4 linked regions of the Coturnix japonica genome follow. The protein of the gene in region 2 purifies or fractionates together with the protein of the main gene of each other region. This does not show direct contact. Links are inferred from orthologs where the notes say so. Each region holds a gene or a part of one and is shown on either strand. Other genes may lie near its edges.

The links.
Region 1: the proteins of DNAJB6 (region 2) and BAG2 purify together in Homo sapiens (affinity purification with mass spectrometry; 4 studies listed by BioGRID and IntAct, with this or other methods). This does not show direct contact. The link is inferred for Coturnix japonica from reciprocal best matches to the Homo sapiens genes DNAJB6 and BAG2.
Region 3: the proteins of DNAJB6 (region 2) and BAG3 purify together in Homo sapiens (co-immunoprecipitation; 3 studies listed by BioGRID and IntAct, with this or other methods). This does not show direct contact. The link is inferred for Coturnix japonica from reciprocal best matches to the Homo sapiens genes DNAJB6 and BAG3.
Region 4: the proteins of DNAJB6 (region 2) and MLF2 purify together in Homo sapiens (affinity purification with mass spectrometry; 3 studies listed by BioGRID and IntAct, with this or other methods). This does not show direct contact. The link is inferred for Coturnix japonica from reciprocal best matches to the Homo sapiens genes DNAJB6 and MLF2.

The regions. Positions count from the first base shown.
Region 1 is NC_029518.1:79,192,604-79,196,893, reverse strand, and holds the end of BAG2 (BAG family molecular chaperone regulator 2), read left to right. Parts: intron 1-2,118; coding exon 2,119-2,228; intron 2,229-2,831; coding exon 2,832-3,232; 3' UTR 3,233-3,738; downstream 3,739-4,290. UniProt on the Homo sapiens protein: Co-chaperone for HSP70 and HSC70 chaperone proteins. Acts as a nucleotide-exchange factor (NEF) promoting the release of ADP from the HSP70 and HSC70 proteins thereby triggering client/substrate protein release.
Region 2 is NC_029517.1:7,735,114-7,738,673, reverse strand, and holds part of DNAJB6 (dnaJ homolog subfamily B member 6), read right to left. Parts: intron 863-3,560; coding exon 731-862; intron 150-730; coding exon 8-149; intron 1-7. UniProt on the Homo sapiens protein: Has a stimulatory effect on the ATPase activity of HSP70 in a dose-dependent and time-dependent manner and hence acts as a co-chaperone of HSP70. Plays an indispensable role in the organization of KRT8/KRT18 filaments.
Region 3 is NC_029521.1:26,988,835-26,993,067, forward strand, and holds the start of BAG3 (BAG family molecular chaperone regulator 3), read left to right. Parts: upstream 1-1,420; 5' UTR 1,421-1,493; coding exon 1,494-1,664; intron 1,665-4,233. UniProt on the Homo sapiens protein: Co-chaperone and adapter protein that connects different classes of molecular chaperones including heat shock proteins 70 (HSP70s), e.g. HSPA1A/HSP70 or HSPA8/HSC70, and small heat shock proteins (sHSPs), e.g. HSPB8.
Region 4 is NC_029516.1:69,478,731-69,482,810, forward strand, and holds the start of MLF2 (myeloid leukemia factor 2), read right to left. Parts: upstream 2,847-4,080; 5' UTR 2,692-2,846; intron 2,554-2,691; 5' UTR 2,528-2,553; coding exon 2,478-2,527; intron 985-2,477; coding exon 858-984; intron 776-857; coding exon 740-775; intron 1-739.

The sequences.
Region 1 (4,290 bases), on a different chromosome or scaffold from region 2:
AGAACCCAGCCCTGCGTGTTTCTGAGTGAAAGCTCACAGGTTCTCATGGTCTGGCCCTCTGGTGCTGCTGGGTGGAGCCTATAAACAGGAGGGGAGTCAACTCTTTGAAAGGGCAGATAACTGCAGGACAAGGGGAAATGGCTTTAAGTTGAAGGAGGATAGATTTAGGCTGGCTGTCCGGGGGAAGTTCTTTACTATGAGAGTGGTGAGGAGCTGGAACAGGCTGCCCAGAGAGGTTGTGGATGCCCCATCCCTGGAGGTGTTCAGGGCCAGGTTGGATGGAGCCCTGGGCAGCCTGTTGTAGTGTTAAATGGGGAGGTTGGTGGCCCTGCCTGTGGTGGGGGGATGGAGCTTCATGATCCTTGAAGTCCCCTCCAACCTGGGCCATTCTGTCATTTCCTCAGCAGTGGTGCAGGGAGCCAGCTGGGGATCAAGTGCTGGGCGCCCTGCAGGTTTGTCACAGCTGATTTAGTTATAAACTTATGTCAATCAAAGGTGTGATTGGTCATTGTTTTTGGTACACAGTCGTTGTCTCTGACAGTCTGGCTTTGTAGGCCATGAACTGGTAGCTTGATCTTGGACGCAGAGCTGGTAAGAGCCACGGGTCAACCTGCGCACTGAGGGCAGACCTTTGCTTTTGAGTCAGGGCAGTGCCAGACTTGAGTTGATGTAAAAATGCTGTTAAAAGTGAAATTTTGCACTTGTTTCAGCTTTCTGGGGACCAAAATGGACTTTCCAAATGGTGACAGTGCTGGTTTTTTTTAAAGGCACGGCGAGGCACGTATGAAAATTCTGCTAGACTTCCTAAATTATAAAGTGCTGACATCTGAAGTATGAAGTGGCTCCACCTGCCCTTATTACTCTTACTAACCCATCCAAAATAACAATTAAGAATATTTGCTCCTGGCAAGAATTTGCATTGCATTAACTTTTCCCATTCCTCCTCACATTAACATGAAAGGGAGGGCCTGAAGCGTGTGGTTTCACTGGGGAACTCAGCCTAAAGATTTCGTCAAACAGAGCCATTCCTTGAGCTCAGCGTGCGTGAGGCGTGTGGGTACTGAAGGCCCTGAGTTCCTGGCCCCACCTGCCTTCTCCCTTTTCCCAGCACCACCACGGAAGAGCACTATAAAGCAAGGAAGAAGAATGAACTGGAGAGTTAGCAGTGCTTCGGTTTGCTTTCGCTTTCTGGACAGACTTAATGAATATACCAGGCCGGGTGCATTCCCTGCCTGTTTGCAGCATCAAGGTCTCTGAGCTGTGTTGAAAGCATCCCAAGCCATTGGCCAGGTTCATGTGATGCTTTGCTTGGACTTGGGATCTCTCCAAGCACCCAGCAGGCGCAGTCAGGAAGGTGCCCCTCCTGCCCCTTCTCTCCTAGGCAGCTGTTCCCCTTGTGCTGCTCTAGGTGACACTGCTCTGAGCAAAAGCCCTCTCCTAAAAGCCGTGGCAGGGAAGAAGCCATGGGTTGTGGGTGAAGAGTGGCAACGCAGCAGCACACAGCTGGGCAGCTCTCTGGCTGAACAGCTCATGGCACAGTGTTGCCCCGTGCCTGACCCCTTGGCAGCAGTGTGCCACGTGTCAGGTTCAGCACAGTGAGTTGTGCAGGGAAAGGGTCTGATTTCAGGATAGCTCAACTGCGTGCTTTCCTGCAAGCCCAGAAATAGGAGCTGACCAGAACAGAGCTTCATCCTCTGTGAGTCACAGCCTCCTGCCAGTTTGCTGCATCTTTATGGAGAGAAACAAACCACAGCGACGTGAAAGCAGGCGCTTGGCAGGACTACCCATAAAGGCAACAAAACATGCTCACCTTGCCTGTCTGTCCCATTCTTCTCACATTACAAAGGAGCTGGTTGTTTTCTATCTATTGGCTCATGTATTCAGTTTTAGAATGATTTTGTGTCTTGAAAGATTAAGTTTTTATGTAGGTGGGGGTCATGGAGTCAGAATGTCTGGAGCACAGATACTTGCAAGCTGACTGCACTTGCAGTGGGGCTCTTTTGTTGATTTTTTTTTTTTTTTTTTTTTTTTTTTTGTTTAATTGAAAGATCTTGGCAGTTTTATGGGGGAAAATGTGTTTTATTATTGAAAGACTTTGTTTGGTTTAACTACGCCCAGGGTAGAGGCTTTCCGTGACGCAGCATCTGCTATGGAACAAGAAAAAGAAACCCTGCTAGAAATGATCCACAACATACAGAACAGCCAGGACATGAGGCACATCAGTGAAGGTGAGAAGCTGCTTTGCCATCCCCTCCTGTCTGCCCTAAAAGCAGACCAGCAAGGGGAGCTGCTCCAGTGCTAAAGGCACCATGCTGGAGCTGGCAGAGGATACCGATGGGCCTTCCCTCCCTCTGGGGTCCCCGTTTCCTTTTTGCTAATGGCCTCTAACTGCATCTGGTAAGCAAAGTAACTCTTCTGTCTGTGGCCTTTCGAGGTGCCGTGTATTTATACTCTTTCTCACAGCAGCATTGAGGGTCCATCCCTCACGTGCCTGCTTTTGTAATGATCAATGCTTCCTGATATGGTGCTTTACTGCAGTGTGACAAAACAAGCACTGTGTCAGCAGTGGAAAAACATCGCTTATACCTTTCTTAAAGCTTACAGCCTAATTTCAGATCAGAAGACACCAGCCTCTGTGACATGGGTGGGACTCAGGCACGTAGATGTAAAACCTCTGGCCCCTGAAAATCAATCTGATTGTCACCTCTTAAAAAGAAAAGAAACAACAGACATCCATGTTGGCACACGGTAGCACTTTGCTTGTCTTGGTGATGTAAAGGCACTGGGAGGTGTTAGTCAGTAACACAGGATACCTTCTGCTTTCGCTTTAGGTGAGAGAGAAGAACTTAACCTGACTGCCAACCGTCTGATGGGCCGAACCCTCACTGTGGAGGTTTCTGTTGAAACCATCCGTAACGCCCAGCAGCAGGAGTCCCTCCTGCACGCCACCAAGATGATCGATGAAATCGTCAACAAGCTCCTGGATGATTTGGAAGACGCCAAAATCCGCTTAATGTCGCTTTACGGCGCGTGCACGTCTGATGTGCCGGCAGGACCCATTGATCAGAAATTTCAGTCCGTTGTCATTGGATGCGCTATCGAGGATCAGAAGAAGATCAAAAGAAGGTTAGAGACTCTGCTCCGAAACCTGGAGAATTCTGAGAAGTCCATCACGTTGCTGGAGCATCAGAAATCCTCGATGAGGCAGCCTTGCATCACCAAACAGGATTAATCTGCCTCGTGGCTACTTCTGGCAAACCACAGAGTGATCCAGTTCTCCATAAAAGCACACAGAAGCTATAAGGAAAATCTCTGTTTACAAGTACACGCATATATACGCATACACATGCACCACGGTATCTTGGATTGCAAGGTGCAGGCATTCTATGGGTTGCGGTAGCATTGGCATTTTGTTTCAGCAATAAGGAATGCTATCATGATTTCTTCTGTAGAGTTGATGCTGCTCTGTTGCAAGTTGTAATGTGCTTCTGCTGAACTGTCAGAATCGATCAGAATCTTGCCTGTCCTCCATTCTCCTCCTTTTATAGAAAAAAACAACTGCGGTTGTTTGGTCATATACTGCGATACCAACTTTTCTCTGCTCTATACATAGTGTGTGAAATAGACTCTTGGGGGAAAAAAAAAAAAGACAAATCATGGCAATAAACAACAACAGCAACAACAAATCAATAAACTGCATATTGTATTTTCATAAACAACACAATGTTTTACTCTTTACTGTGTTGTTCATCATCCTTAGAAGAGAATGACAGATCCTGTGTGTGTCCAAAGAGGCTCAGAGCCCCCACTGAGCAGCCTGTTGTTCTGCTGTTAGTTCACTGAAGGGCAGCATTCTGCTGGTGCTGCAGGGGGCTGCGCTGCTCAGCCCTCACCTGACCTCCAATTGAAGCTCAGCTGTTGGCGCTGTGGGAGGGAAGAGCAGCGCGGGCAGCTGCAGCACCCTGCGTGCGAGGAAGCCTCCACACCTGCAGCAGATTTCTTGCAGTGCCCACCTGAGCTGGGAGCTCATCTCAGGTCCATCTGCACAGCCACCGAGCTCTGCGTCTCCAACCTGTGCCATACGCACGGTGTTGGGACCGCTGCTCTGTGCTTTGGGAGCTTCCAGCACTGCAAGGGCATCGCTGCTGCCATGCATGGGCAGAGATGGAATTGAGATGGGGACCTCCACAGCCACCACATCTTCAGCTATGAGGCTGTGCCTGCTTCCCAAGAGTAATTATAACAATATACATGAGAGGTTCTTGGAAATTGCAATGTGGAATACTTACA
Region 2 (3,560 bases):
CTCTTACCTCTTTGTAGTAATTTTTCTGCCATTAACTATTTTAGTTGAGGTTGATACTGATTTGAAGTTTCCCATCCCACTACCACCAAATGACGTAGAGGAGAACGAAGCAATGCCTCCGTGTCCCAGCGAGCCAAATGAAGTAAAACCTATCGGGGAAAATGTTAACGTGACAATTATTTGACTAAAGACATAATTTTGCATGACTGTGATCTTCAAATTTATCAGCTAATCAGACCACCTCCTAGCTTTAGTTTTGTATTGCAAACATCCCAACTAATATTCAGTCTTAACACTTGAAACAATACTAACTACCATAAACTCTCAAAAAGCTCTGAGACACAGACCTCACCATTCAAATTAACTATTCCAGAACTCGTTCTAAATAGTACCACAAGTTTCAAAACACAATATTCCCAGGGTGCTTCCCAAAACTTAACACAGTCACACCAATGCTCAAGGACAAACAGAACCAAAACTATTCTCAAGCCATAAACAACTGCAACGTAGTCTTAGAGGTCTGTTCACTTTTTATCAACTTTCAAGTAGACCAAATACTATAACAAAGGTTTTATTTACATTCAGACTTTTTAGAAAGCAGACTAAATTCCCAGAATATCAGTCTCACAATTTCCTGAATGAAGGCAACTTTTAAAAGTATTTATCTGCTTACCACACTGAAATCCTTTGTGAGACAAAAGTATTCTTTGTTAAATGCTACACTATTTACCTGTGTCAAATGAAGGAAAAGCACTTCCAAAAGCAGGGAATCCACCAAAGGCATTGAAAAATGATCCGCCATCTCTGCTTCTGCTTCCCCTTGGACCCCGTCTGCGCCCAAAGAAGTCCTCAAAAGGATCTTCTACAAAACAAAAGACATTTAAAGAGGTTAATCTCACCTCACATATAGAATTACAATTCTAAGCAATTGATTTCCTTATCATTTTAGCCATTTAGTATTAAAACAACAGTAAACTTACTGTAATGTCTCAGCATAGTAAGAGTTATAACAGAAGTTTACTTATTTCAGATGCTCACACAGCATAATTGACTGGGTATCACGATAAAAGAACTGCAAATAAATACCAACTTGACTGTGTCCACTCAGTATTTGTCAGATTTAGAACTCATCAGATGCATTATCACGATCTCTACACAGCAGTAAGGAGTAACACTGTGGAAAAATTAAGATCTCAGAACTTAACAGTGTTTACAATATTGGACATAAATACTGCCCACAGCTTACTGCTGTTTCAGATCTATTGCATTCCACCACTATGGGGTCTCTGAAAAGTAACTTCCAAACGGTTTGTGTCAATAATAGAAATATAAAAAGCCCAATCAATGACTGAACAATAACTCAAATTTCAACTACTCTGTGTTTATTTTAGCCCTTGCCACATTAGGTACTTTAAACATTTATTCTGGTGCAGATTTAAGTAGTAAATTACAGGACACTGTGCACAAACTTATGAAGAGACGTTCAGACACCATCAAGCAGGAGAAAAAGGTGAAAAACAGAGAGTGTCGTGGAAAAAATTATGTCAAATTCACACACAACAGTTACGTCAGCAGCAGTTATCAATTCCATTCCCATTAGCAGAGCAATAGATTCTTTCTAAAGATAGATATTATATACATATAAAAAATGTCCACCTAACACATTTTTGTTTATGTATGATTTCATATATGTACATAAACACCTGTGCAAGAATATCCCTATTTACTTAGAAGCAATCAAGCTTTCCTAAAATACAGACATTACTGTGGCTATCTGAAAAGATTTTTACTAACGCTCTTCAAACAAAGAGCTTTAGATTTCAATCACGTAACACATACTCAACATATATATTTCTTATTTTAAACTCCAAAGTTCAAGAACTTCAACTCATCAAACAGGATGATTAACAGATTAACAGATAAAAGATTAGCCCACTCCTGGTATCAGCACAAAAGCCCAAGCTGGTGCATTCTACATCACCAAGTAAACTCACTGGTGACATCTCTAAAGCAATCAATCTGGTAATAAAAATTACTACTTAGCACACGTGATTCATTTACAGAAGAGTCACATTGTATTTAAGGCTGAACAAATAAAGCTCCTAAGGTCCAAAAACATATTTCCACTAGGGAAGATAGAAAATGCGAGGAACAACAAAAACAACCCTAGCTTACACAGTTATTAAATAGAAAAGGCAGGACCAAGCTTTTATCTTACCCACGCCACCAAGCAATGACTAAGTTTCCTTGTTTCCATGCTTTTTTGTTTTTGTGCTCCTGCGCTATTTTTTACCTCAAGATAATCTGTTATTATCTTTAAAACATTACAAACCAAACCAGTTCTTGGGCATAGCAACATGGGAACCTATAACTATGGTTAGCATTTCCCAAACAAGTACTGTAACCATTCTTTTTAAAGCTGCTTCCCCCCCACACCCTCTCCCCAAGATAGTTTATCAGCTGGTAAGTCAAACCAATGCAGTTAATTGTTTTGAAGCCTAATATATTCTTGCTTGGGTGACTCAGAAGTTAGTTATGAAGGTCATTCACTCACGTGTACAAATGATCTATATTATATTACTCTCACTGTTAAGCTTTCTATTAATAGCTCAATTTTTCCTGTTACCTGGAGTTTGAATAGAAACAAAACAACCTGCCATGTAAGCTCTGAGTATACGATCCCCCCACTCTATCAGCCTGTTCTACAGGGGACTCTCCCACAAAGCAGCAGCCAAAAATGACGGTTTTATGGGAGATCCCAGAATCCCCCAGAGATCCCCACTGTCAACACAGCTGTAAACGCATCACTGCCTACTCCTTGCCTAACCTACACTTGGGTGTGCTCTATTTCAGCCTTTGGCAACCCTACACACCAAAAAAACCTGAAGTCTTTACTCCACTTCCAGCCTCAGGTGATTCCAGATTGCAGTTCTGCTAATAAACCTCCCATGTTCTGCCAGTAATTCTCTCCAATAAATTACATGCTGAAACCTGATTGCAACTGATTGCTGAATCCTCAGCAAGAAAACTCACAAGGCAGGGACATGGGGAGCTTTTCCAAGGCAATATTCTCTCCTCATGGCTGCGCTGACAGCCATTCAAGTACAGTACAGAGAAAAAAATGCCAAAAAACACTGAGCAGTGATGGCAGCAGGAAGCTTCTGCACCATCATTTGTTGTATCCACCACCACATCCACACGCATAAAGCAACCCCACAACTGCTCAGGCACTGTTTATGATTTTAGGCTGTAAATCAGGATGATGAATAGTCCCACTCAGCACAATAATAACATCTCAGCCTGGCAGCTCTATTTTTATGATTTAGCACCACCTTTCAAATGCATGAGAACCTTTTCAAATAGACAGCTTCTCCAAAATGGTTCAAATGAAGCTAATAGCAAAATATTGGGGGGTTTTGTTTGAATGACTCCTCTTACAATAAGAATTTTGGTGTAATTTGTGCTACCACGAGTGAAGGCCCTTCCAAAAATGGAAAATACAATATACTGTGCAATTGATAAACATCATAAAGCCAAAATGCTGGACCTTAAGGTACTAC
Region 3 (4,233 bases), on a different chromosome or scaffold from region 2:
CTAGCACGGACAAGAATTTAATTAAGAGGAAAAGCACAATATCCAGCCAAATAAAATCAATCACTCAGATGCCTTCCCTTCTCAGTCCATGCTCATCTCCGCATGATACTGCAGCCACAGGATCTGCTCCTGCAGAAGAAGCTTGGGCAAATTCTGACCTATCAGACCATGATAATTTTGGTGAGATTTCCTGACCTGTTTCTCAGCAAGGCACAAACTCACAGCCACATTTAACTTATGTCTCTTAGCTACTACCCTGAATTTTCCTCTTATTTCCAGCTTTTTTATTAACTCTGCTAAGTATGTGGCTATCAGCTACAGCAAAACAAAGCTTTTCAAACAAAGAGATCCTTGAGACAAATATTGCAAAGGCAAAGATGGGAGGGCTGTGGGAAGGGCAGCTGTACCTGGGGTTTATCAGGCCCAGCACTGCTGGCCAGGCGAGGAAAGGGGTTCTCCTGCTCTGCATTGCAATGCTGTGTCCTCACATCAAATACTTCCAAATTGGGATATTCTATGGCTCTAAGGAAGGAACAAGGCTGAGCAATTGTCGCAATAAACAAACCCCACTGTCAGAGGATGGATGAGTGTCAGTGTCAATCAGCGTCAGCCCAATCTGTGACCCTGCCCTGAGCTGACAAGGTTCTGACCATCCCCAGGGTGTGCACAGGCAGCTCCTCTGAAATGAGGCACGTGGGTAATGAACGAATGCACACCTCAACCTCTTCGGAGCAAGCAGCTTTGCAGCAGACAATGTCTGCTCTTCAGGGGCTCGGCATTGACTCTGCAGGGTAAATAACTGTCAATAGGCGCCTGGGGCCAAGTGGATCTGTCAGATGGCTGCAGGTGCTCGCTGCCAAGTGGTGTAACCCACTGCCAGCACTCAGAGATGGGGGACAGGCTGGTGCTCACACAGACACTCTACATTCAGATGTTTGCCAGCATCAGTGAATCCAAAGGCTGAGACACGATCAAAGAGTCGATTCTGAAGTACAGTGCCTGTCCACACTGCAACTCTGAAACAGACATTATTTGTGCTGTTTGCCAGGGCTGGACACACATAACCTTAACCCATCAGAAAGGACGAAGTTCCTGGCTTCTCGTTCCGTTGGACCAGAATCGCAGAATCACCGGCTCGGAGCAGGAGCTGTCAGAGCGGTGTCAGACGGTGTCAGAGCGCTGTCAGAGCGGTGTCAGAGCGGGGACATTCAGGCACTCGGCGCTGCTCCCCCAGCCCGCACCCAGCTCGTCTGTCCCAGCCGGGTCTCCCTGCCATAACCCCGCACCACACTGGAGGCCACCAGAAGTTTCCAGCCGGGCCGGGCTCGGCCGCCTCCCTCCTCCCCGTCCCTCCCCTTTCCCCTCCTCCGCCGGCCGGCGCCGATTTCCAGACACTTCCAGCCCCGCGCCTCCGCCCCCCCGCTCCCCGCGGCGGATAAAGCGGCCGGGCCCGGCCTCCCCGCCCCGCACTCGGCGCATGGCCCGGATCCGGCATGAGCGCTGCCACGCACTCCCCGCTGCTCCAAACGGAGAGCGGCTCCGAGCCGCTGCCGCCCGGCTGGGAGATCAAGGTGGACCCGCAGACGGGCTGGCCTTTCTTCGTGGACCACAACAGCCGAACCACCACCTGGAGCGACCCGCGTCTGCGGGGCGACGCGGCCAAAGTACGGCGGGGGGTGCGGGGCTGCGCTATGGGGCAGGGGGTGGGGGGGGGGGTTGGAGGGAGGTGGGGGCCCGGCGCTGGGCTGGGGGCTGCCGGGGCCAGGCTGCGGCTCAGCGCGTGGCAATGCAGTGAGGCCAGGAGCTGCCTTTTGTCTCTGACGCACTGCAGTCCCTTTTTTGTGCATTAAATCATCCGATACCTCGGCTCCGGGGTGTTTATTTAAAGTTGGTGAAGTGAACCCGGCCGGCCCGGGGAAGGCTGGGATGGGTTTTTTTCGGCTGCAAATGAGCCGAGGCGACGTACAGAGCTTCAAAGTGACGCGGCTCAGACTTGTCAAGAGTTTTAGGGTTTTTTGTTGTCTTGGTCTCGTTCCATACTCCGTCACTTCGTTGTGTTGTGTCTGTAAGTGCGCTCAGAGAAAAGCTGCATCTCAGTCCTAATATGTCCATGGCTGCGGGCAGCGGCTGGGAGCCGGTGGGACCCGCAAAGTGGCTTTTCGGAGCCCAACTCTGAGCCTTCAGAAGTTGCGCCGTGTGACCCGCCTTAGTATTAACGCGGTGACTGAAAAGAAAGTGCTGGAAACTTGAGCTGCACCGCGAGTTGCCAGAGTGGTGGAAAAACAAATCCTGGGGGGTTTTCTTGCATTTCTCTGCAAGCAACGCTGCTTTCTTTCAGCCCGGGTACGGCCAACCTCGCGGCTTCGCCTTTAGTTCTGCAACCCCATAAAATGGGCAATGATGAAGCATAATATCGCGGCTCCTGTGGAGGATTTCTGTCCGTCCTTGCGACCTAAAATGTCGCCCGTTGCCGCCGTTAGGACGAGGCCCAGGATCGCTCCGTGCTGGACCCTGGCCGCCGCTGCTCGGAGCGGTGCTGGAAGGGATCGCTTGGACTGTGCGGAGCCACGGCTGGCCCCGAGCCCAGCGCCGGCTCTCAGCTGCCAGGCCCGGCTCCGTCCTGCTGCAAGTCAGCTGGAACAGCCCAGCTGCTCCCTGGACGTGGTGCGCGTGGAGCTGGCAGCCTCCAAGTGCTTTGATCACGGTGACGCGGCCCAGCGAGCGCTGACTGTGGCCATTGCTTCGCCGTCCTGTCGGGGAGAGCCGGCAGTGCTGGGAGGAATCGGGGCTGCCATCTTAGGCAGAGCCCCTTCCCTGGGAAAAGCAGCCTCTGGTGTGGCACGTGGCTCACGTGGAGCCAGTGGAAGATACTCAGTAACTCCAAAATGTATCTTCGATGTAACTGATACAGTTTTTATTCCCCTCCCCACCCAAGGAGTCTTAAAGGATTAAAGCGCAAAAGAGCATTTTGAGAAACATTAAGTTCTTACATTGAATTGCCCATTTTATGAGCGCAGATCAGCTCAGTGTGAAAGCAGACAGAGCTCACACAGAAGTGAAGGGGCTGTGCTTCTCCTTCTCCCCACTGCTCCAGCCAAGTGATGTTGTGCAGTTGCACTCACAGATACAAAGTGCTGTTTGGAATGGAAGAAATGCATTGTGCCAGTTACAACATAGCCTTTCACCCCCTTTTTCCACTCAATTATTGATTATATAGTTCTGGCAGTAATGGTAGATCTTGTTTGATGTAGTTTGGTGATGTGAATGTTGAGAGTACAATAGGGAAAAGTGCTTTAACTCATTTTTGGCTACTGACTTCCTAGTGGTAATGAGACACCTACTAACATGGGCTGTTATGGCAATAAAAATATGCTTTTTAGAGCCATAAAGCATAGTCAAGTCGAAAAGCATGCATTTATTCAAGGCTTTTGTTATGGAAATAGCACTTGAAAGTAACTCGTTTAAGGGAGAAATCACATTTAAGCTGCATTTGATAATTGTATAAAAAACAGGTTTTGAAGTGCTCTAATGGATCAGTGCTGGTTTTGAGTGGGTGACTGAAACAAAACAAGTTTTCATCCCTATCTGATGTTAAATCTGTGGTAATAAAAAGTGGCTCCTCTCCTGCCAACTTGGAAGTGTTACTACAGGCAGAAAGAGCTGTGCCTCTTTTCAGCTCTTTTTGTGGAATTCACTTGTTTTCCAAACAGAAACACCTGTCACCGCTCACTACAAGCAGGAACAGCTTTGGGACTGGTCACAGAGAAATACTTCCAGGGATAGTATTGGAAGGTTGAGTTCTCAGTTCCCTCCTTCTTAGTCTGCCTTCAGTGAGAGTGATCAGGAGTGATCAGAGAACTGCAGAAGCCAACCTTGTGTCAGACCATGTCTCATTAAGGATGAAAACACAGGCAAAGTTGTACTGACTGTACTGATGAAATCAGTGATTTTGTTGATCCCTTTTATGTTAGTCTCTATAAATCCTTATTCTCTTTATAAATCCTTGTTCTCTCTCCAAATATTCCCTCTTCACAGAGATATAGGTAGAACATGAGCTGTTGCTCAGAGAGCAGAGCGCAGGTCCAAAGCTGACTGACTTCTTTTAGCTGATCAAACAGGCTGTGGCATGGCAAGGTGCTGCATTTCCCCTACAGCTCATCTTGATCTTCCTGCTCTAGATTTGCCAGCAGTGTAACCATGCTGACTGCATTAACTGTACCTGTATAATCAGGC
Region 4 (4,080 bases), on a different chromosome or scaffold from region 2:
AATTGTGCAATATGTAAACAAAATTACTGTGTCAGTTTAAAGGCACTGATTCCTTTTTCCCTTCTTCAAGTGGCTTCTTGTTCTCGTTTAGAGCAGACCAGAACTCACACGCAATGTTATTACCCTTTGAAGTCCAACTGTTTGTATTATTAATCCTTTTCTGAACTAGAATGATTCCAGGATGCTTCATTGAGTCAATCCCGCAGAGCAAGGCACCTAAAGCTGCTGGATCTGGAATAACTTATTTCCCCTGTATTACTACAATAGATAACTGAGATCAACAAGCTCCAGGAACAACATTTTCCCACACATCCAGCAATTCTCACTCCAATTCTGTTCTCTTGAATTACTCTTTTAGCTTTTCATTCTGCAACCATTTTCAAAGGAAGTTCAATTACCGCCTCTGCCTAATGACGGCCGAGTCTTTTCCATGTGTCATCACAGTTTCACAACAATCTCCAAACAGATCCACAGCTTCTTCTTAGACACATGAGGTTAAGAGACCCTCCGTTCTTCCTAGATATCACCTATCTCAATTCCTATGAAATACCATGCTGTAACAGCTTTATGGATCTCCTCTGTTCAAGGTGCCCGTATAAATGGACTCCTCTAAAACAGCTCCACAGACTACACTGAAGTATGAGGAGAAGTGGAAGGTCTAAAACCATACAACTCAGGAATAGCAGTGCAGGAGGAACCAGTTATCTTCAAACTTGACACTGAAAAACAGAGGACTTACCATGCCCAGCATCCCAAAGGGTGAAACAGCTCCCGCCTGTTGAGACAACAGAAAAACAGAATAAACGATGATCTTGCAACAGCCAAACACCAGATACTCCTCAGAGCCCCTCTCTTACCTGCATCCTACGGCCAGCCTGGCGAGCCCCAGGCGTGGTCCCATCAGTGATACCAAGCAACGGGCCAAAGCCAAAGCTTCCAGAAAGCATGCGGTTCATGTGCTGCCGGTGGATAGCAAAAGGGTCCCTTTGGGAAAGATTGAGAGAACAGTGGTGAGAAAAGGATGACAGAACACTGAGTCCTGTATAATACACACATTCTGACTCGGAGTTTCTCTTATGCAACTGTGACTGTATTTTCTAAGCTGAAAATCCAGAAGCTCAAGAACACACACAGTGTTGCGTATGCTAATCCTTAGGGCTGGATCCCATTTCTTCTCTTGTGACTGAAAGTATTATGCCACAGAACCTCTCTTACACACTAACTAATGTCTATTCAGCACCAGCTCCATGCTCTGTTCCCACTAATACTTTTGAGCCAAGCTCCAAAACCTCACTGCTCTACAAGGTAAAAGATCTGCAGTCCAAGCGCTACCATCATCTCATACTCATTTCCTCTTGAGCCATCAAAACTCTTTGCATTAGCAGCCTCTGCTTTAAGGACATACTTGTACACGCTGGAGAAGCAAGGAGGGAAAAAGTAGAACAGGGACAGTCCCAAATAACAGCAGCCACGCTAAAGAGCCTGAGAAGCATCACAGCATTTCTCTGCACATCTGGTAGTTCTGCATTCATCCCTCCAGAGCACAAACAACCTGAGCAGCACGTAATTTCCTGAGATCACAAAAGCACCGAGCACAACCCAATACTTTCCTGTTTCTGCTGGGAATACTTTGCATAATAAAAGCGAGACTCATAGCTGCCACATCAGTGAGAACTGTACACTCACTCTGTGACTGAGACTTCCAGGTCTCCTCTCCTACTCATTGGTTTATGGTTGATAACATTCTTATAATCAACTTTATAAGCAAGAGCAGGGCTTTGTTTTCCTACATATATTAATTGTAACTAATGTATAGCAGTGCCACACTTCATACAAACTCCTACCATATAACACTCTTGTCCTTAACTGCTTTGGCAACAACCGCCACCTCTCATCAGTTGCAACCCATTTCTGAGCAGGGGATAGAAATAAAAGCAACCAGTAAGAGGAACCCCAAAGCAAAGCATCATTGGGACCCACATCAGGTTTTCAGGCTTGTGTTTTAAAACGCCTAGAATTCTCCTCATTTAGTCCCTCACAACGTGACAGCTCCCTCAGCAGCCTCCTCCAGCTCCACTAATGAATTCTTCGGCGGGGTAGAAACGAACAGGCACAGATGATGTTATCAAACCTTACTCGTTATACGCAGCAATCCTTAAGCACAGCTAAAGGTCACAGAATCACACAGAATCACAGAATGACCCAGGTTGGAAGGGACCTCAAGGATCATGTAGTTCCAACCCCCCTGCCTGGCAGGGCCACCAAACATACACAGGGCCACCAAACATACAAAAGGTCGGGCGCTCCAGCGCTGCTTTCCTCACACACTCACAGTGTATTTGGCCTACTTTATTCAATGTGTCCTCAAAGCCACAGTGGTTCGGCTGGCACGAAACAGGCCGCTCCCATCCCCCCATGACCCCCCTCCCCTCCGTGCAGGCCGTGCCGCAGCGCCCCGGCCCCTCGAGCCGACTCACATAGCGAACATGGGATCCTCGGGCTCGCCGTCCCTCATCAACCGGAACATGCTGCTGCCCTGGCCGGGGGCGGGCTCTAAGGAGGGAGGGATGGAGGGATGGAGGTTGAAGCGCTGAGCAGGCCGCACGTCGCAAAGGCGGCCGCCCCCAGACCCGCACCTCACCTCCCCACCACCACCACTACCACCCCCCCCGGCCCCAGGCTCGCCCCCACCTTGTGCCCCTTCTCCGTGCGGTGCCGAGGGGCAGACGGCAGGAAGAAGACGAAGAGCAGAAGGATGCACACACGGGCCGCTCACTCCCGTGCTCCCATGGCGGCTCGCAGCCCGCTCACCCCTTCCGCTCCAGCCGGCTCGCCCCGCGCATGCGCGCACAGCGCCGTGTGTCGGTGCGCTCTCGCCGGGCAGGAAGCGGCGCTCGGGCCCGTGTCGGGGCACAGCGCCCCCTGGCGGTCAGTGCGGCCCGAGCGCCGCTATGCTGCTCTATGGCAGCGGGCCGCCAGCTCACAGCGCACCCGTGGGCACCGACACTCACCCGGAGCCGCTGCCAACACCACCAAGGCATCACTGCCCCCCTCCGTGAGCCTCAGTCACACGTCTGACTGTTCCAGCATGGAAAAGCGTTTCCTGCTCGGCGTGTTCAACCCTGGGCGGGCACGTGGTGCATTGGGTGTGTGCAGACGGGCAGGGAGAGAGCAAGAATGGAAGCGTTATTTATGGGACTGGGAGCAAGGCTGCGATAAAATGACCTGCTTTCCACGGATCCCAGCAGCCATCCCACCCCCAGACATGGCAGGGCTCCTAAAGCTGCTTCCATACACAGCATCAGGCATTACTGCCTCCCCAACACAGAGCAGGAGTGCACACTGTAACCTATATGTAACCTATGTAACCTATGTAACCTATGTTACCAGCAATGTTACCAGTTAAGCAAATCTGGCTCACTGGTGGCTGAAGCCCCAGCAACACAGACAAGCTCCCCCTTGTTAGAAACGCAGAATCTGTCATAAATCAAAGCCATTACCCACACTGCCTCCCTTCCTTTTTTAAAGCAGTCCAGGCAGAGGAGAATGGGGGAAGAGGAGAGGCTGAGCCAAGGGCAAAATGGAAGCGAGGAGTGATGCCACTGCCCTGAGCTCCACCTTCTGCTGCTGACTCGCTGCCATTCAGCATCCCTCCCCCTAACGTCCCCAGCGCTGTTAGCTGCGCACTCAGCCAAAGGGGCAACCACAGCGTTTTCAAAGCAAACTGAATATCACGTGGCGTGGGTAAATAAACGCTATGTTTAAAACAGAAGGATACAGGTATGCGGCCAAAGTTCACAATCTACTGATCGGAGTAGAAGCTGCAACGAGGATACAGTGTGAATAGGAAGAAGCAAGACTGAGCCCTGGAACAGGCTGCCCAGGGAGGTTGTGGATGCCCCGTCCTTGGAGGTGTTCAAGACCAGGTTGGACGGGGCCCTGGGCAGCCTGATCTAGTAAAGGTGTATGTTTGGTGGCCCTGCCAGGCAGGGGGGTTGGAACTACATGATCCTTGAAGTCCCTTCCAACCCGGGTCATTCTGTGATACTGTGAGCCCTGAGAACTGGAGCACCCACAGGG